Caenorhabditis elegans: one gene and its partners. The protein of the gene in region 2 purifies or fractionates together with the protein of the main gene of each other region. This does not show direct contact. Each region holds a gene or a part of one and is shown on either strand. Other genes may lie near its edges.

What was found. Proteins that work in one complex are often made in the same cells at the same time.
Region 1: the proteins of sec-16A.1 (region 2) and sec-23 purify together in Caenorhabditis elegans (affinity purification with mass spectrometry, with the first as the bait; one study listed by BioGRID). This does not show direct contact.
Region 3: the proteins of sec-16A.1 (region 2) and sec-31 purify together in Caenorhabditis elegans (affinity purification with mass spectrometry, with the first as the bait; one study listed by BioGRID). This does not show direct contact.

What each region holds. Positions count from the first base shown.
Region 1 is NC_003283.11:20,089,644-20,094,419, forward strand, and holds the start of sec-23 (Protein transport protein SEC23), read left to right. Parts: upstream 1-1,619; 5' UTR 1,620-1,624; coding exon 1,625-1,762; intron 1,763-2,514; coding exon 2,515-2,609; intron 2,610-2,664; coding exon 2,665-2,809; intron 2,810-2,858; coding exon 2,859-2,948; intron 2,949-3,222; coding exon 3,223-3,336; intron 3,337-4,609; exon of another isoform or gene 4,610-4,776. Other genes in the region: dcs-1 (m7GpppX diphosphatase), read right to left, coding at 522-667, 715-895, 983-1,099.
Region 2 is NC_003281.10:9,123,716-9,131,395, forward strand, and holds sec-16A.1 (Protein transport protein sec-16A.1), read left to right. Parts: upstream 1-2,123; coding exon 2,124-2,138; intron 2,139-2,511; coding exon 2,512-2,551; intron 2,552-2,605; coding exon 2,606-2,705; intron 2,706-2,764; coding exon 2,765-2,932; intron 2,933-2,977; coding exon 2,978-3,572; intron 3,573-3,618; coding exon 3,619-3,731; intron 3,732-3,776; coding exon 3,777-4,215; intron 4,216-4,264; coding exon 4,265-4,420; intron 4,421-4,465; coding exon 4,466-4,741; intron 4,742-4,787; coding exon 4,788-4,993; intron 4,994-5,040; coding exon 5,041-6,112; intron 6,113-6,167; coding exon 6,168-6,317; intron 6,318-6,369; coding exon 6,370-6,655; intron 6,656-6,704; coding exon 6,705-6,787; 3' UTR 6,788-7,092; downstream 7,093-7,680. Other genes in the region: Protein ced-11, read left to right, coding at 82-388, 438-1,004, 1,053-1,337; ZK512.10 (DUF4752 family protein), read left to right, coding at 7,179-7,193, 7,240-7,330, 7,378-7,490, 7,543-7,593. UniProt on the Caenorhabditis elegans protein: Plays a role in the organization of the endoplasmic reticulum exit sites (ERES), also known as transitional endoplasmic reticulum (tER).
Region 3 is NC_003282.8:11,365,636-11,373,659, forward strand, and holds the start of sec-31 (WD_REPEATS_REGION domain-containing protein), read right to left. Parts: upstream 6,158-8,024; 5' UTR 6,118-6,157; coding exon 6,052-6,117; intron 6,005-6,051; coding exon 5,865-6,004; intron 5,819-5,864; coding exon 5,624-5,818; intron 5,576-5,623; coding exon 5,359-5,575; intron 5,314-5,358; coding exon 5,141-5,313; intron 5,036-5,140; coding exon 4,648-5,035; intron 2,889-4,647; coding exon 2,794-2,888; intron 2,749-2,793; coding exon 2,276-2,748; intron 2,229-2,275; coding exon 1,974-2,228; intron 1,927-1,973; coding exon 1,772-1,926; intron 1,725-1,771; coding exon 1,467-1,724; intron 1,421-1,466; coding exon 1,268-1,420; intron 1,218-1,267; coding exon 977-1,217; intron 931-976; coding exon 662-930; intron 615-661; coding exon 495-614; intron 357-494; coding exon 303-356; 3' UTR 1-302. Other genes in the region: Chitin-binding domain protein cbd-1, read left to right, coding at 7,359-7,404, 7,452-7,546, 7,592-8,024.

The sequences.
Region 1 (4,776 bases), on a different chromosome or scaffold from region 2:
CAGAGAAAATCTACGAATTTTTAATGGTTTTTGTCAATTTTTTGCAGAATATTCTCATTTTCTGTCTTGTTTTTCACTTAAAACCAAAAGAAAAATCAAAAAATTCGAAAAAATCGAAGAAAAACGAGTGAAAATCGATAATCGTGATTTTGGGCGCTGCTTAGACTACAAACTACACGTTTTGGGCGCTGCTAATTCAATTTTGGGCGCTGCTTAGACTACAAACTACACGTTTTGGGCGCTGCTAACACTACAAACTACACGTTTTAGGCGCTGCTAATTCAATTTTGGGCGCTGCTAAGACTACAAACTACAAGATTTGGGCGCTGCTAATTCAATTTTGGGCGCTGCTAAGACTACAAACTACAAGATTTGGGCGCTGCTAATTCAATTTTGGGCGCTGCTAAGACTACAAACTACAAGTTTTGGGCGCTGCTAAACTACAAACTACACGTTTTGGGCGCTGCTAAACTCATTTTCTTGGTATTTTCTCCGATTTTCTTCATTTTTTCGCTGCTTACATTGAGATTCAGCTGATATTTCTCAATATACGGCCTTGTAACAGTCTCATAAAGCTCTGGAGTCTCTCGAATCACGAATTTCTCCTCCTGACGGTATTTTGCAATGAGACGATCGTTTATCGGGTAGATTAGTTGAGATTTTAGCACTGAAAATTGAATTAAAAATTAATTTAAGCAAGATTGTGTGGATTACAATTCAATTTGGGATCGATTTCTATATTATAGGACCCGAAAATGTCATTTCTGGAGATTTCTTGAAGCTGTGCAGTCGCCAGAAGCTTCTCGATATCGGATTTTTCTTCGGAAAACGGAGACTTGTTGGCAAGCAGAATGCCTTGAGATCCATCGGGATGGGAGAGCAAAACGAAGAGAGACTGGAAGAAAATATTGATTTTTATGATTTTTAGGTGAAATTTATTGTTTCTTAATGCAAAAAATTCACTTTTTATTGATTTTCTCACCTTATGCGACGAATCAGCGCCTAAAATCTCTTGAAACTTGGCATCCTGCAGCCATTTCTGTGTACTCTCCTCTGCACGCTCCTCTCGCACAAGTTCCTCGTCGGCGATCCGTTTCATACTGAAAAATCGAGATTTTCACTTATTATTCACCAAAAAGATACAGAAATTGCAACGAAAAACGGTAGAAATCGAGAAAACCAACTCAAAAAACATTTTCAAAAGTGTCACGCATCGTAAAACAACACACTGGCCGCGGCCTAGAAAACTCCAATTCTTTTCTCGGCCATCTTCCTCCACGTGTACATTTTCTGTTGGAATTTTGCAGATTTTCACTCGTTTTTCACCATTTTTTCTGATTTTTCTTGCTAAAATATTGAAAATAAGTCGATTTTTATTGATTTTAGTGTAAAAATCATAGTTTTCACCTTGCATATGTCGAAAAAATGACGAAAATTGATTGGGCAACCATAAAAACCCAAAAAACTCGATTTTTCGCTATTAAACGTGATTTTCAGTGTTTTATATTAATAAAATTAAAATTTAATGGTGAAAAACCAGAATTTCACACGTAATCCACGTATTCTCCTCGTTTTTCATCATTTTCCGCGATAAAAAGTTCATTACCAGTTTATTCCAGTAAAAATGGCCACTTGGGAAGAATATTTGGGTGCTCAACAGGCGAACGATGGCGTCCAATTCACGTGGAACATGTGGCCACACAGTCGAGTGGATTCTCAGAAGCTTGTCGTCCCGCTCACCTGCTTTTTCACGCCGCTGAAGGTAAAACTGAGGCGCGGAAACTGGATTTTCTTCGAATTTTTCGTGGAATTATTGAATTTTAAGCATTGAAAATTGGATTTTGTAGCTGCCGAGCAGCGCCAAAAGCTGAGGAAAAGCCTATTTTCAGCAATTTTTCTTCAAATCCATCGAAATTCCATCAATTTTCTCCGAATCTTTGCAAATTTTAGTGGATTGCTTCATTTTTTGCCAGAAATTCGTTATAATCTTCTAAAAATTCAAATTTGGTAGCTGCTCGAGCCGATCGGCAGCTTCGAAACACCGAAGGCATGAATTTCAGCAATTTTTCGATTAAAAACGCGATTTTTTTCTCAATTTCCATCGGAATTTCTGCATTTTTACCTTAAAAAGTCGGTAATCTCTGCAAAAATCGTAAAATTCCGCTGAGAAACGCAAAAAAAAAATTCAATTTTGGGCGCTGCTTAGACTACAAACTACAAGTTTTGGGCGCTGCTAATCCAATTTTGAACGCTGCTAAAACTACAAACTACAAGTTTTGGGCGCTGCTAATTCAATTTTGGGCGCTGCTAAACTACAAACTACACGTTTTGGGCGCTGCTAATCCAATTTTGGGCGCTGCTGAAACTACAAACTACAAGCTTTAGGCGCTGCTAAACTACAAACTACAAGCTTTAGGCGCTGCTAATCCAATTTTGCGGAGTTCAAGCCGATTTTAAGCTGAAATTTCACGATTTCTCATCAAATTTCTCTCAAAAACCAAATTTTTTTTCCAGGAGCGCCCATCAACAGAAGTCGCCCAACCACCACTGGAATATGATCCGGTTTTGTGCCAAAAAGCCAGCTGTAAAGCGATTTTAAACCCACTTTGGTGAGTTTCAGGCCTTTTTTTGCCCGATTTTCACCCCGAAAAATGATGCTTTCAGCGCCGTCGATTATCGCGCCAAAATCTGGATGTGCCCATTCTGCAACAATCGGAATCCGTTCCCGGCTCATTATGCGGCAATTGCCGAGGATAACCGCCCGCCGGAGCTCTATCCACAATTTACAACCATTGAGTACACGCTTCGAGTGAGAAAATGCTGAAAAATCCGAGTTTTAAGCCAAATCTTTATTCCAGAAAGCCACCACAATGCCGCCGATCTTCGTTTTCGTCGTCGACACGTGTATGACTGCAGAGGAGCTGAAATCGCTGAAAGAATGCCTTCAAGTACGGGACAAATTGCAGAAAATTGAGAAAAAAACGGCGGTTTTTTAAAATTTTCGCGGAAAATTGCTCGAAAATTCGTCGGTTTTCCAACTCAAAATTTGTGATTTTTTCACTCAAAAATGGGAATTTCTGCTGAAAAATGGGAATTTCTGCTCATTTTCGCTTGAAAATTCGACTTTTTTAAACATAATAGTGTTATTTTTCATGAAAATTGGCAATTTTTGCCGTAAAATTCAGATTTTTGGGCAAAATTTCCCAATTTTTCCAATTTCAGACTGCTCTCTCGCTGCTCCCAGCCGATGCTCTCGTCGGATTGATCACCTACGGTAGAATGGTCCAGCTGCATGAGCTCAACACTCAGGGAATCTCGAGAAGCTACGTTTTCAAGGTAATAAATTGCAGGGAAAATTGGATTTTTTGGGTTAGAAGCCTGAAAAATGCCGAAAAATGCCAAAAAAAAAACACTAAGTAAATGCAAAATGAATAGCGAAAAATTAGAGAATTATTGAAAATTCTCGGATTTCAGTGAACAATTCGAACAAAACAAGACTATACACTTTTTAATTCAATTTTCCATCCAAAATCTTATAATTCTATTCATTGGTTACTAGTATAGTAATTCAATTAAATAATGCGCTCAATATGCTCAATTGACCAGTTTTCTCGAAAAAGTAGGATTCTTCATTAAAAATAGATGTTAAATTAAATGTTATACTATATATATAGTTGTTCTGAAACGTTAAAGCTCTAAAATGCGGAATAGTTAAAGGTGGTGTCGTCGATTTTTTTCAAATTGCTTTATTTAGACTCAAAATTGTCTGAAAACACCGAATTTCATAATAAAACTTCTTGAAAACTTTTCAAAAAAAGGTTATGACGGCTCAAAAAATGGCCTAAAATTAGTTAAAATCGGAAATTTGACTAACTTATCAATGTCGCAGCGGCTGGAAATTTTTTTTTTTGAAATCATCGTTAAATTTTGAGTTTACAAGTTGATTATCTTGCGTTTTAAACTTGATTAAGCTATTTAAAAATCGATGGACGGCGAGTTTATCGATAAAAAAAATTAAAAATCTCGCCGTACATCGATTTTTAAATACCTTAATCAAGTTTAAAACGCAAGATAATCAACTTGTAAACTCAAAATTTGACGGTGATTTCAAAAAAAAAGTGTTTCCAGCCGCTTGACAAGTCGGTCAAATTTCAAATTTTAACTAATTTTAGGCCATTTTTTGAGCCGCCATAACTTTTTTTTGTCAAGTTTTCAAGAAGTTTCATTATGAAATTCGGTGTTTTCAGACAATTTTGAGTCTAATAAGGCAATAAAAAAAATTCGACTACACCACCTTTACCTATTCCGCAGAGCTGTAACGTTTCAGAACAACTATATATATAGTATAACATTCAATTTAACATTTATTTTTTATGAAGAATCCTACTTTTTCGAGAAAACTGGGTCAATTGAGCATAAGTAGCGCATTATTTAATTGAATTACCATACTACTAACCAATGAATAGAATTATAAGATTTTGGATGGAAAATTGAATTAAAAAGTGTATAGCCTTGTTTTGTTCGAATTTTTCACTGAAATCTGTGAATTTTCAATAATTTTCGACTACACCACCTTTAAGTTAATAGGTTAATTAACGACTATACACCGACTATACACTTTTTTATTCAAACTTCATAAGACATATTGAACATGTTATTATTATTATTATTATTATTATTATTATTATTATTCAGTTGTATTATATCATTAATATTATTTAATTAGATGAATAATAATAATACAATTAACAATACAAATAATAATCATCATCATCA
Region 2 (7,680 bases):
TTTATCAAAAAGCAACATTTTAGAACTGACAAAAAGACAAAATACTGACGGTACTCCATCTTTGAGGTCATCAATTTTCAGACTGCGCCCACCACTTCCTCCACCACTTACCATTTTCTGTCTCATTTGCTCGGCTTGTTGTCGCTTCTCCAACTCATTCTCCGGTTTCTTCTCAGACTTTGATCATCCTGATTTCGAAGCGAGAGACAAGTGCAGAACCACGTGGAAATTTGGATCAATCTACCGTAACCCATCTGTTCCATTCAAGAGAAACGAGTTTGTGAACTCATTCTGGAGAAAGCTTTCGATGGAACAATGGAAAAATACACAGCAGAAAGCGAAGATATCAGCAAACAAATCAGAACTTCAGGAACTTCATAATATTCATGTAAGATTTATTTTTTTAAACACAAGTTTAAAACTGAAAATAATTTCAGAACCACATTCGAATGATGACTTTGCGAGATTCATATGAAAATTCGGGTACACGAAAAGCTTCAGAACTTCAATTTTTCGAGAAATACCCAGAAAGTAACATTCTGAAGATTAGTGTGAACATGGTGTCTAAGCCATGGACAGTGCTTGTACCTAGATACAATCCCCCCTTCTATTGTAAGCCTGCGGAAGATTTTCCATCAGATGTGCAAAAGTATGTTGATATTGCCACGGAGCAAAATGTTGGAGAACTAAAACGAATTTGGAGAAGCCGTCAGGCAAATGATGTTACTAGTAGTAATGATAAATGTTGGAAGCTCTCAGCTGCCGGCTTCCCATTGAATCCGAATGGTCGAACTGGAATGGCTGGAAGAGGAAATCATCCGAGATTTGGTGCTAATCGACGTTGTTATTATGTCGTTTTGAGTGGTGGAGTTGAAGCGAAATGTCAAGTTCTAGTTGATAGTCAGAAGAATATTCCAAATGAATGGCATCTGGAGAACTCGTCGAAAGATGAACATCTGACATCTATTTTGAAGATGATTGGAATTTCAGATTCTGACGCTCATGTAAGTAACCAAAAAGATTACTTTTAAAAATTTGTGATGTATTTTCAGATGTTTTCAATGCGACGTTTGGATAGCTCAATTATCACTGCGGACAAAAGAATACCATCCAATGACACGAGTCCTGCTCATTTGGCTTCAGAAGTTGCAGAAAATGAAAACGATACAGACAACGCGTGGACGGAGCATGATGTTTGGGCTATTTCTCTCCGAGAACGACGTATAATAACCACAATTATCGGTTATTCGTGGCTTCCTACGAGTGCAATTCGTGGAACAGTGCTTCCATGGCAAGCAGATCTTGTTTTCCGAGCAAAGACAATATACGGGTTATAATGCTACAACTTTCATAAATTATGAATTCACTTAAATTGTTATTCGATGTTTGTTTTTTAAAGCTGATAGCTAAGAGATAATTTAATAAAGCTTGGAAGAATAAAAATAAAGCACTCACCAAAACACATATAATGAGAGGCCTAACAAAAAATGTAGGGGTACTGTAGCAGTTTTGAAACAAATTTTTCTAAATATTGTAGAGCGATTGTTGGTTAGGTTTGCGGAGTGTTGTGCAGTAAAACTGTAAGAACTGTCGCGAATGCGGAGAACCAAGAATACTTCTCCTTGTCGCCACTTTATTACTTAATATTATTTCCTTTAATTTAACACAATTATTATGTATATTCATTAATTAATTATCGTCATCTTCCTTGTTTTTCCCGTTATTTTTGGTCCGTTTAGGTGTGACACGGAGATAAAAGATACCTTAGCAAAATAAGTTCTTTTCGTGAAAAAACAAATCTTCGTATTTATTAAACAACTTTGTTTCTGTTAACAAATAAATAAATCCTTGCTTTCGATTTTACGATTTTGTGGCTACGGTACACAATGTTCACTCCGCAAGCACCGAAACTGACGACAGTTTTTCTATCAGTTATTTTTTTCATTCAACCTCGAACTTTTTTCGCGTTTATTCATTTCTCGCGTGAACTTTTTGTCTTATTTTATTTTTAAGCTTGGCTTCACGTGGCACCGCGCTTTTAACACATCCGTGCGGCGTTTTGAATTGAACTTTAAATTGGAAATTCCCAAAAACCCACGATTTTTATGGATTTCGAATGGAAAATGCGGCGATACAGGGTAAGATTTCCCAAAATTGTAATTTTAAATCTTAAGGCCATTAAGAAAACAAGTAAAAACCGAATTTATTTTACCATTTGGAAGAATAAAAAACAAAATTCATATCATTTTCCCATTCACTTTCACCTGTTCGTATCACTTCCAACAAAGGAAAACTGAACTATTCTTGTTTTCAATTTTCCCATTTTCCCATATTCCCCACAGCAGCCCTTTCCGTGCATTTTTGCGTCGCCGTGTTGGCACTAAAGTGACACGGTTGACCTCAATTTGCCCCTTCTTTTCTTTTCTTCCCTTGTCTTCTGCCTCTCTATATTTACCCAACAGACTTTAACATCTCGACACTTAACTTGTATATTCGCCTAATTTATTACAGATCGATTCTATGAAGTATGAACAACGAATGAATGCCGGAGGTATGATAAAATTCGATTTATCAACAATTTTTATCAATCACTATTCATTTTCAGCTTCTGGTTTCGATATGAGTGACTGGAATAATCCTTACAATGCTTCACCTCCGTCTTCTAGAGGAGGCGATGATGACGCTTCATCCGTTAACCATTCAAGGTCAGTGAATACAAGAATTTCACACGCCGATCGATATCTTTTCATCGCTTTTTTTTCAGGCCTCGACGCAGTCGGCTGGACAACGATATTCCACAACCAAGAAGACCCATTCTTATTCAACCAGCTCGCCCAGTATCTCAAAAGAGTAACCGGCAGGGTACTGGAATGAGTAATGGTTCAAGAGGCCTCAACTCAACTTTCAATGGATATGACCGTACTTATTCAAGGTTTAAAACAAGGGAGTTTCTTCTTCTAATTATGGAAATTTGCAGATATCACCAAAACTCTTCACGTGGCCCAAGCGAAGGTTTCTCTGGTGCTCCTTCAGCTCGAAATGCATCTGGATATGCGAGTGATTACGCGAATAGTCGTGCTGGTGTGGGATTGCTGCCGAACAACCACCGTGAGCCTGTGAGACCACGATCAACTGCTGCTGAAAGATATGCGAACGCATCTTCAATGAGAAATGGTTTTGTATATGATAGTGGAGAGTCTGATAAGACTTCAGAAGAGCTGGAAGAAGACGAAGAAGAGGAAGAAGTACGAAATTTTTATATGGAAGGACGAGCACAAGGCTCCAGGAGTGTAACAAATACCCTTGCCTCTGAAGTTTATAATAGCGAAAGTGAAAGCTATTACTACGGAGTTGTGAAACTTGGCTCTGCTATTGTTGATCATGTGTTCCGAACGATGCCTCCTCCGGAAAAATACTATAAGATGCCGCCAATCGACCGTGTCGCTTATGTATTCTACTGTGCCGTTAATAACAAACCTTACAACAATATTGATGAGTTTCACGTAATTTTTAATCGTGAATTCTACTCCTACCGCGGGTATGGTGATTCTAAAGATCTGGCACTTTTTAAGGTAAGATTACTGACAAAATTGAATTGCTTCATATTTTAAATTACAGGTTTGCAAGCGGATGCAAGAAGAATTCTCCCTGAAGCAACTGGAAGCCGACAGATTGGCGTACGAAAAAGCACGACAAGAAGCTGCAGAGAGCGAGAAACTGGATTTCAATCAGTGAGTATGGAACCAACGGTACAATGAGCAAAAATATTATTATAGGCATAAAATCGAGGAACGCGAAGAGCCAAAACTTAACATCTCGCAACCCGAAGAAGTGTTGAGCAACGGACCACTTCATTATCACTCCTGCCTTCAGTTTGCTACCATTGGTGTTGGAGGAAAATTGGTGATCATTAAACCAGCGGGAACCATCGATAGTATCACTGGACATGTTCTAAGTACATCCAGCGTTCATGTGGATGATCTGAAAACATTTCTTCATTTCGATGAACAATCTGGAAAAGTGATCGAATCAGTTCAGAACTTTAAAGGACCACTGATTGCTGGACAAACTCCAACTCATTCCGTTCGTCTCTACATCCAACGACAAATCGACGCTCTTCGCCAGATCAGAAATGCTGGTGACGTAAAGAAAAGTGAGGTGGTGGATGCTCTTCTCGTCTGGCAATTGCTCGAAATCATGGTTCAGCAACATGGAGTAAGAATTGTTTTAATTTGAGAACTTAGTAGGAATTTAACATTTTAAGAGAGTCACCGGACCCGATGTAGCAACACTGCTGACAAATGCCTCGGAAGAACTTGGTGAAAAAACTGGAATTTCAAGCAATGGGACATCCGAGTCTGGTTCGAAGTTCGAAGCAAAGGAGCGGTTCAATAAGTATCTTCTTGGTGGTCACATTAATGTAATTTTGTCTAATCTTGTTAATTAAATAATTATAATTTTTCAGGAAGCTGTTGAAAGTGCTATAACCGATGGACTCTATGCCGACGCAATGACATTGATCCGTAGACTGCATCCAAATGACGCTAAGAAAATTGAGGAAATCGAGGCACGATTTATGAATCTTCGTTCCATTGACGATCCATTCGCAACACTGGTTGCAGTTTCAAGTGATCAACCACCTCCGATTCTGACGAATTCGGCGTTCGATGATGACAACAATTGGAAACGACATGCGGCCATTGTTCTTGCGAATCTAAACTCGCAGACCGCTATGCAAACGGTACGGCAGGAGAAAAGCAAAACTAAAACTGTAAAATTTTTTTCAGATCTATCATCTCGGCTTGCTCCTAGCAAAAAGAGAACGAAACTGTGCTGCTGATTTCTGTCTCCTTGTTGTATGCATTCTGGCTGGTTATGATCCATTTATTCCAGTGGCTCACGACGGAGATGAAACTTCGAGAAAGCACATCGGCCTTGTGCATAGTGGATCTAACTTGTTGAATCGAGTTGATGGACTATCAGGAACCGCTGGGTAAGATTACTTAACACAATATGCATAACATAAAACATGCTTTTCAGATTCTCATTCACTGATCTTCATGCTACTGATATTTTTGATTATGCTCTCCGACTGGGAAATAACAATGTCGATTCACCACTAGCAAAATCGATTGATTATCAGTTAGCTCGTATTGAATACGCAAAGAAGCTGTCGTCTTTTGGTGGATTTGCTACGGATGCGTTCAGATATTGTACAGAAGTAGCAAGATCGTTGTGGATGTATGTCGCAGCTTTCGATAAAAATGCAATGTTTGATCTTTGCGATCTGGCTGAGAGTCTTCAATACATGGCTGCCGCAACTCCTGATGAAAGTGGTTGGATTACAACTATGAGAGGAATGCTAGGTGCAGCTCCAGTTCAAGAATCTCAACAACATGTTCCACAGCCACAACCAGTGGAAAACAAATCTATTTCGTCTGAAGCTAAAAAATGGCATGATGAGCATCAAGCGCCGCTGGAGATTGGATCACGTAACGATCAACAACATAACGATAAAACTGTCGAGAAACCAATTGCACCCGGACGTGCTTCTTTGCCTCCACCTACCCTGGTTACTGAATCGTCATCTGAATCGACATTTACAGATAAATCCGATTCTTCGGTTACTGTCGCTGCGTCAGCATCAAGAACTTCAACGTTGACCTCATCCACTTTACCACCACCACCATCCCTTCCAAAAACTATCGAAAAACCAATCTCAACACCACCACCAATTTCTAAAAATGTTGTTCCTGAGATGACGCCTCCAGCGATTGTGAAGCCACCGATGCCAACGTTATCGATGCCTATTCCACCTGTCAGTACTCCAATCATGGTATCACCTCAACCTATTCCTATTCCGAAACCTGTTGACGCCAGCATTGCAAAAAGTCCTCGTTCGGAACTGGATGATTTATGGGACACTTCACCGCCAAGCAATCAAACTTCATATCCACCTGCACCGCGAAATATTCAACCATCTTATTCGCCTGCACCTAACTTTGCAAACCCAACAGCTCCAAGTGTACCAACACCACCACCAGCCGTTTCTTCTGCTCCGGTTCTTCAACAAGCAACACTAGGACAAGCATCTATTCCAAATGCTAAAACTGTGAGTTTTCTGTGAAACCTTCAGAATGACAAGTAATTATTTTTAATTATTAAAGACTGCGCCGCCTGTCCCACAGAAACAACCTGAACTTGCATTGAATGAACGAAAAGCATCTAAAGGATGGTTCGGATCGATTAAGGAAAAAGTCATCAAATCGATTCCATCAGCAAACCAAATGATCCTGCCTGACGATTCAAAGCCAAGTGTATGTTAATTTGAAAGCCGATTTTTTGAATATCAAATATTCATTTGTTCAGATCGTTTGGGATCCTGTTCAGAAAAGATATGTTGGTGCTGGAGTAGAAGAAGAGGTCGTAGCTGCTCCACCGCCAGTCATGTCAGCTCCTCATTTGATGGGTGGAGGTCCTGATTCTAACAAATCGAGCACGAATAGTCTGCGAAGTGCTAGAAGTGGAGTTGGATCACGATATCTTCAATCGGGAATGGCCACTAGCCAAGCACCAGCTATGGACACTGGAATGCCACCGATGATGCCTCCAACCATGCCAATGTCATTCAGCTTTATGCCTGCACCCACTGAAGGTATAATTAATTGAGAATTAGTTTTTTCTTCAATTAATTTCATTTTCAGATGATTCCTCCGAATATGTTGATCCATTCAGCGGTGAACCAACGGCTCCTTCCGAATCATTATCCAAACAGAATAACGATTAATATGCTTCAATTCTTCCAAATTATATGTGTTGTCGTCCCCATCGCCTTTTGTATCCCCCTCCCACCCACTATCATTCTTTCAAATAACCATTTCCTGTTATCTGGTCAGGCCCGTTTCCTCTAAAAACTTCTGTGATTATTCCATAGTATCTTCCTTCTTTTTTGTTGTGCAACTATATATGTTACGGTTTTATCTGAAAAATAAGTAGGCTAGTTTTTCTTTGTTCTGACGAGAAAATATGTGCTCTGAATTGATTCTCTGGTAAATAAATATATACTGAAATGAATAAATATAATGTACCGTGAAATCACTATTTGAATTTTACATTTGAAATCGAATTAAAAACAAAACAAAAAACTAATCGAATACCATTATTTCGCAAATTCGAAAATGTATCAACTGGACGTGAGTTTTCTCTTAATATTTCTGATTGATGTTCGAATATTTAAAGTCTTGGTACTCAGTGCTCTTCGAGCTTCTTCTCGTCGGTTTTTCTCTCTACAACTCGCTCAGAATGACTACTTGGTGGGATACCGTAGCCAGTAGGTCACAATTATTTTCAGGCAGTTTCCAGAAAAAAGATTTTCAGAAGGAGCATCTATCGCAGTGAATGGAGCAGCGAAACATTCACCTTCGGTCGCTGATCACTACGGTATTCGTACTGATAAAAATAGTGTTAGAAGCTATAGAAAGAGTAGCGTCGTGAGTTTTATTGAGACTAATTGAATAAATGTGTATATTTCCAAAATTTCAGAGATCACCAATTACGTTCGAAATGGGAGATGGGATTGAAGTAGCTCACTGATGGATCGTAATTTATTGGAAAAATGACGTTCAGAATAAATTTGATATTGATTAATTTTTGTCCACATTCTAGTAGGCCAGGCAGGCG
Region 3 (8,024 bases), on a different chromosome or scaffold from region 2:
TTATTTATAAAGTACTTTAAAATCGAATAAATAAATATTATGACTACAACAAAGAATGATTACAAAGCAGTAAGAAAATTTGGGACTATAAAGCAATATCTAATTTTAAGTATTGGCAGGAATTTTTGGGGGTATTGGAAAGTCGTATTACACGCAATAATTATTTGGGACAAAACAGTTTACACGATTTTACACACGAAGCAAATGAAATATAATATATTCAAAATGTTGGCATTTTTGATAATTGATAATCAAAATCACATAACAATGAAGGCAACACTCTCATTATGACGCGGAGAAGATTAATGAGAGGCGAGCGAAAGAAGCGACTTTAGAGCCGGAAGGAACGACGAAATCTGCAAAAAAGACGAGTTGAACAAATAAGATAATGAAGAGATTATTTCTTTTTGGAGAACAATTCACTGTGCTTTACATATAAAACAATACGAATTGGCTTTCCATTTTTGTTAAATAAATCATAATACAAAATTCACCTCAACAAAATCTCCTGAATTCCGTGCCATTTGTGCCACAACTGCTTGAGCTTCACGAATCTGCCGCATGGAAACAAAGTAAGCCATATGAGTTAGATGCTGCTTCGATTCGGGAGACAACTGAATATTTAGATTTCAAATTATTTTGAAAATTAATGAAACCGTACCCTATTCGCAGCAAGACGCGGTGAGAGCTCTGCCTGAATACGAGTTCTCAAATCCTGAGCTTTTTCCATTCTAGCCTGAATTCTGGCATTTTCAATGATACACTGAGCCAATGTATTAATGGGTTCAATAATTTTCTCATCTTCCGGTGATAATTGGATTGGAGCTGGAGCTACAACGGATGCTGCAGAAGCCGGTCTCTGTTGATAAGAGTTTGGAGATGGAAAAGCTGAAGACGCTGCAGATGATTGTTGATTGTGAATACTCATTCCTGAAAATATAGATATATGCACAAATTGAAGAATTTAGAGTATTACCTTGAATTCCATTAGTCATCACATTTTGATACCCTCCTGCAAATCCGTTCAACTGCTGCCCAGTCATCATTCCACCAGGAGCTTGGGCAGTTTCTATAGGTTTCCAATTGATTTCCATCACATTTTGCTTTGGCTGGGCAACAGTGGTAGGCTTCAAAGCCATTGGAGGAGGATCATTCCAACCGGGAGTAACTGGAGCAACTGGTTTAGATGGTGGCATGTTCGCTGGCATTGTTGGTGGCTGAAATGAAAAGAAACTATGATTCTGTTCCGGATATTATAAAAACTCACTGGTTTATGATCCCATGATGGTGTCTGATAAAAAGTGGAAGATGGTGGCATTGGTGTCAAATTGGAATTTCTTCGATTATTCGAGTAATCCATAGGAGGTGGTGGACATTGAGAATGAGATGGATTATACGGGTTAAAACCATTTACGAGATTCTAAATTTTGGATAAATATATAAATTTAAAGTAAACTAACAAATACCGGTGGGGGAATAGGTGCCGGTTGTTGATATGTCCGTGTCGGTTGAACAATGGGTGGCTGTTGAGCTCTAGGTAGAGCGACATCAAACGGATTAAATGGTGGTTGATCCCCTGTACAATCTCGACCTCCGGCAACATTATAGCAAGTCCATTGAAGCTCTTGCATTTCAGCAGAACCATTTTGAGACCACTTAACCAAATTCCATGCGACGGAACCTGCGCCTTGAATGAGAAGTTCATTGGCGAAGTTCATGATTAGCTAAAAATTATCGTTTACGAGTTTGGAGATAATCTTGATTTTTCTACCTTCTCTAATCCATCCGAATACTTGGCACCTTTCGATACTTGATGAAGTATTAAAGCCTGTTTCAGTCGATCCACTAGTGTGAAGGATGTATTGGCAAGTAAGAGATGATCAATGTCTCCGGCAATCAAAAAAGCAATACAAGCACGGAGAGGTTCTGGAAACAAATTGAATCTATGATGTATTATTTTAAAATTCGCTAACTTCCTTGTTCCAACCATCGCTTTCCAATGCATTTTGCTGCTAATCTGATATCTGTCGCATTTGATTCGTGAGCAATTATGAAGCCAAGAAGCTCTGACCACTTTTGATCGGGGAAAGTTTGGAGAATACTTCCAATTTGCTGAGAAACCTCTTGTTCAGATGATTGCTTTGAAGGAGTGATTTCTGTTTTGTTAGCCGACGAGGACGATGAAAGTGCAAGAATTATAGAAGATAGAGGACTCGAGTTGTTGAATTCTGAAATTTCAAATTATAATTACAATATACAGCTCGAAAACGATTACTTTTATTATAATCATCAAGAATCATTGCCAAATGATCTGTTTCGTGTTGAGCAGCGTACATCATTGCGGCTACGTGTTGATTTGAGGAGATTAGAACACGAATGACTTCAAGATGATCTTGTCGAATTGTATGAAGAAGAAGATCCCATCCTGAGTTATCCAAAGTCGACCAATTAACACTAGAACATCTTTCAATGACTGTTACTTCCGGAATATCAATGTCAGTGTCTGCGCCGGAAACAACAGAAGTTGAACGAGCAGATCTATCAGGTATTGCCGTAGGTTGAATATTTGGATTTGAGACTGCTGATGCTGCGTTCTTCTCGGAAAACTCCTCATCCTGTGATTCTACAAGTCCTAAATAATTTAGCATCTTTGTGCGTCCAGCTCCTTCCTGTAGCGCGAGAAGAATAAGCCAAACTTTTCGTGTAAGATCTGCTTCTTCTGAAGTATCGCTTGATGGGGCATATGCTCTGAAGTTTTTAATTTTGATAATTTTAATCTGAAAATATAATTACCTCTCATGAAGATACCATCCTAAGTTTCGTTTATCATCCTTAATATGTAGATACTGAGCAATGTCGTTGACACCAACATCGTTTTCTGGAACTATCTGAAAATAGAAAAACTTCTGCCTTCTTCCTATATTAAATCCGGAAAGTGCAAGGGTCGTCACTTTTTGCGCAAAAAGTGTAACAAAAAATTTAAAAAGTTGGGTGTGCACTTTCGTCTGTAACTTTGCTGTACCTGCACATTTTTTAATTTTCTTTTTTGTAGGAAATAGAGAATCGCTTTTTCTATCTTATTATCTAAATGGTTATTTGATTTGATTTCATCTTTTAAGAGAAATTCTTGATGAAACACGAAAAAATCACTTTTTTCGCGTGTAGTGTCGCTTTTTTTGCACACGTTTAGAGGTCATAGTATAAAATGTTTTTGATAAGGTAACTGTATATCTGGGATTGATAAAAATTTTTAGTTTTTGCAATTTCATCAATTTTGAACTGAGTTATGATGATTTGAAAATCGGACTCGAAAAATCCCGGAATTTCGAAAATTGCGTTGAAAACATGTTTAACGTTCGTATTTTTGTTTTATTTTACATTATCAAATGTAAATTTTAACGTAGATTCCGTTTTTCTAAATAGTTTTCTCATTATCCAACCGGAAAGTTACGAAAAAAGCATAAATTGACGATTTTTCAATGAAATTGTGCGCAACCCCTTGGTGTGCAAATTAGTGATTTTTGAGATTCTTTCGGCTGTAAGTCGGTCAGTTTGGCACTTTTTGGGGTAAATTTTTCGAAAAACGTATTTTTCAGGAAATTTACTCTTCAAAAATATAATTTTTTTTACAAAAAAGTCAAAAATAACTTCAGAAATCGCAAATTTCTGCATTTTCTCAAAAAAATGACGTTTTTGCTGGAAAAATAAAAAATTTTCCACTACCGAATGGGATTTTATGTTAAATTCGTAATTAGTACATAAATACCGAATGCAAGCTGAAAGCACAGTCCTCTACGATCATTTTCAACGAATTTAGTTTATTTAATTTTTGACCTCGAAATTTCAATTTTCCTCTTTTCCTGGACCAGTTTTCTGTTGGATAATGAATTTTATGTCCTAATTCTTATTATTTTTGCTATGAGAAGCGAGACAAACTAAAATTTTTTGGTCATGAGTTCCTCGAGCCCCGTTCCTGAAGTTGTAGGCTTCAGGCCATGCTTAGGAAGCTCAAAAGTTCATTCTTCACCAATTTCTAAAATTTCAAATGCTATCATATTCTCCTTTTAACGCTGAGTTCAAGTATATACTTTTAATTTTTCAATTCCTACTATGAACAAAGTTACGACGCGTCGAAGTTTGAAAAGTCTTTGCCCGGCCCCCTCCTTCCCCTCATCCGCCAGTGGTAGTTGTATTATTCAACTCACCTGGGTACCCAACTCTTCCCAAAAATCAACATATTTGAATTATCAGTCATATAGTGGAGATATTCTTCTACTCGACACATCGTCACCCCACCATAAACCCCTCAAACATGTCGTCTTTGGCTGTCCACGTGTACATGTACATACAATTGCAATTGTTTTGAATAATTCTTGCCTGTGGCAACCTTTTTGACTATCCCTACAGTATATTTGATTACTTACATATTTTTGTTCTATTATAGCAGGCCGAAGGCCTGCTATACTGGTTCAGGAAGCCACGCAGGCCGTAGGCCTGCGGTGCGAGACCCAAAACATTGCCAATCGCACGTTCGAGGCGAAGCCGAGAACCCGCGCCAGCTAGCGGACTCGCCCCAACCCAACCTCTACTAGCGGGCCCCATAGGGCCCGCTAGTCAAAAACGAGATTTGTTATAAAATTTCAATACCGTTTCAATTTCCACATTATGGTGCCATTGTTGGGTCATTGCATCGTAGGACTTCCAGAATGTTGCCAACCGTCCACCTAATGCTATTGATGAGCCAATTAAGGGAGCACGGTGCCATGCAGGAACAAATTGATCGGAGATCCTAGCGGCAAGTACATCGGCTCCTGGTTGCGGAGATCCAAGACTAGTCAATGAGGATATTTGAACAGGATGTTGGAAATATTGAATAGCAAATTGTGATGGCTCCTCTTCATTCCATTTAACATTTCGGATCCAGTCTCCTTGAAGACTTCCAACACCTCCAAGCACCTCAGATGTTTCGTGATTCCATATAACCACTTGTCCATCACAGCCAGATGAAATTACAAGACGATCATCAGCTTTGTTCCTGTATTAATATTTTTCGTAATTTTTATATAGTTTTTTGTACAAAAATAAATTGTCTAGCTCAATTTTTATTATATAATCAACAAACTTTTAAATAAAAACTTACCAGTCAACACTCGTAATTCCCATATTATGATGTCTGTATTCTTTAACTGGTGTTGAAGTGAATCTCGAATCCCATTTCTGAATAACAGAGGCGTGTTGAGATTGGCTGGAAACTATAAGTTGTGAGGCGTCCGAAGGATTCCAAGAGAGCGAAGACCAATCACAGCCAGGAATCTGCAAATAGAACTTTAATAGCCACCAGGCAATTGAAAATCCAACCTCTGCGAATTCTAACACCGGCGATCCATTTCTTCTCAAATCCCAAAAACTGACTCTTCTGGACGATATGGAAGCAAACACAGACTCGTTCTTCAAGTTCCAGCGAAGAAGTTTCACTTGATCTGGGAAATTTGGCGAACCGGGAGAGAATGGTGTTTTCAGATTTGCGCAATCCCAGAGAAGAATTTGTCCTGAGCCTCCACCAGAAGCCATCCATCTTAAAAATTATTTTTTTGAATTGTTCTTGTAAACTTTCATTTCATACCTGCCGTCCCTGGAAACATCAATAGTGAGAACATGCCCATGATGATCTCTTCGAGAAAGAAGAACTTCTAGTGATTGATTCTTGATAAATTTATCAGCATCAAAAAATACCACAGTTCCGTCCTCTGTACCGCCAGCAATTATTCCGTTCGGATGTGCATCGGAACACAGAGAAGTCCAGGCTAATTCATTGAATCTAAAATTATGAAATACACTATACCGCTTCACATTATAATTCTCACCGATAATTAGTGGCATGCGACACATTCGGGGCCAAATTCGATTTTTCATATATCTCACTTGCTGGCAAAAAATCGATCTTTGGTTCGATTGATGTTGCAGTCGGGTCAAAAAACTGAGCGAAATCAGCAACAATTAAGCCCTGAAAATTTGATTTATTTCAATTATAGACGAAGATTGATTAATTACCTTTTTCTGAATTCCACGTGGACTCCAGACAAATACGCCGGAACGTGAGTAGAGCTTCGAGCTCATCGATCGTGTTCCGTTTAATGAGCAATTGTTGTAACTTTAGCTGTAACGTTGACGTGGATGAATGAGAGCAGCTGAACAGGGAGTAAGTGCGCTCCTTTGCACTCGAACAAATAGGAGGAAGTGAAAGTTTTTAAAAGAGTAGTCTTGATGTAATTCAGACAGCTAGAAACACCGATATCGAACGGAAAAGAAAAATGGCAGAATGAATGTTCCTTAGAATGTTCCGCATATAAAAATTGGGACTCCCAATTTGGGAGGAGTAATTCAAAATATTTCAATATCAAAAAGTGAACTCATCGCACCAATTTTCGAAAAAATAGAAGCTTCTTATTTAAAAATGTTTAAGAAAAATATCAAAAAGAAAATAAAACACTAATTGTTATATGTTTAAGAAATCAGACAATGTTTTTTCAAGTTATGTCGCGCGGACAGAGAAAACAGAGAATACACAAATTCTACTAATAGCTATTGAAAGAAGCGAGGAAAAAAGTTCATTAAAAACCTTAATTTCGCTATTCCCGAAGGAAAACGAAACGATGATTTTAAAAATCAAAAAAAAAATTGATTTTCCGTGGATCTGCAAAACGACGTGAAGTGTCTTTGCGTACTTTTGCATACCGTAGTCAAGTAAGCCGCTAATGTCCAAACTTTCTATTTAAAGTTATAATTATTTAAACCGACTATGAATTTTTAGAAGTTAATTTTTTTGTTTCAGAAAATTAACAAAAAATTGGATGCAATTAAAATTAAATCAACCAAAAAAACATATTTTGGAAAATGGAAACGGTTGGTATTAAAGGATCATGTATGTTGTTAGTTGGGTCTCGCCACGATTGCTAACTAATACCGTACTCTGTTATTTTTGGGCCGCACAATTCTTTAGTTTTTCTTAATTTTGAAAATATCTTGAATTTTCTCATAATATTTTGTTTGTTTTCATTAATTTTATGATCTAAAATTAATTTTTAAAGAATAAAATTGAGCAAATGTATGCCAATACCCATTTCAGACATGTAAAAGTGCAGTAGATCAAAAATTATTTGACCCCAGTTTTAGGCTCGAGCGGGAAATTTTTTGGATTGAGTTTTCAACCTCGAATGTTCCATTTCATTCCTTCTTCATTAGCTCTAATTTTTATTAGTTTCTCCTGAAATGGCGACCATTTTGAACCTTTTCTGTTTTTATTTCGTAAAACTTTTAAGTTAAAATATTCATCCTCTAACTGTTATCAATTTCAGGCGATGGGGCCACAGCTAGCCACCGTCTCGCTGCTTCTACTAACATTTTGTGAGTTTCTGCCTCTTTCTTTTCAATCAAATATTTTTATTTTCCAGTTTCGAATTCTATTCAATACCCGCACTCACCAGCAGCCACAGAATGCCCTGCATACTTCAACGGAAACATAGCAGGAAATGCATGCAGTCGGGAGGTAAACCAGTAGCCCTCCGTTTCAAATATAATTCTTTATTTTCAGTACTCGATATGTGTGAACGGAGTCAGGCAAGCAGCCACCTGCAGCGATGATTCTGTCTTCTACGAAGACGAATGTGTGCCAGTCGACGAATCTCCAGAATGTCGAGTAGATGAAAACACTGAAGAAGATGACACCCCATATGCGGAATTCGACTGCACATCGAAACAGGATGGCATCTACTCCATTGGCTGCTCTAACCAGTTTATCAGCTGCGTCGCCGGCGGAGCCTACATGGCGAAATGTCCTGATAGCTTGGTCTTTAACGAAAGAACCCAAGATTGTCGTGAATCTTGCGACGAAGTGAAACAGGACACAACTACTGCACCACAAGTCTACGAAGATGGTGAAGAAGGATACGGAGAAGCTTCCGGTGAGATTGCTGGAGATTACGAACGTCAACCGTCGAACGAGCAGCCGGATTCAATTGACTTCG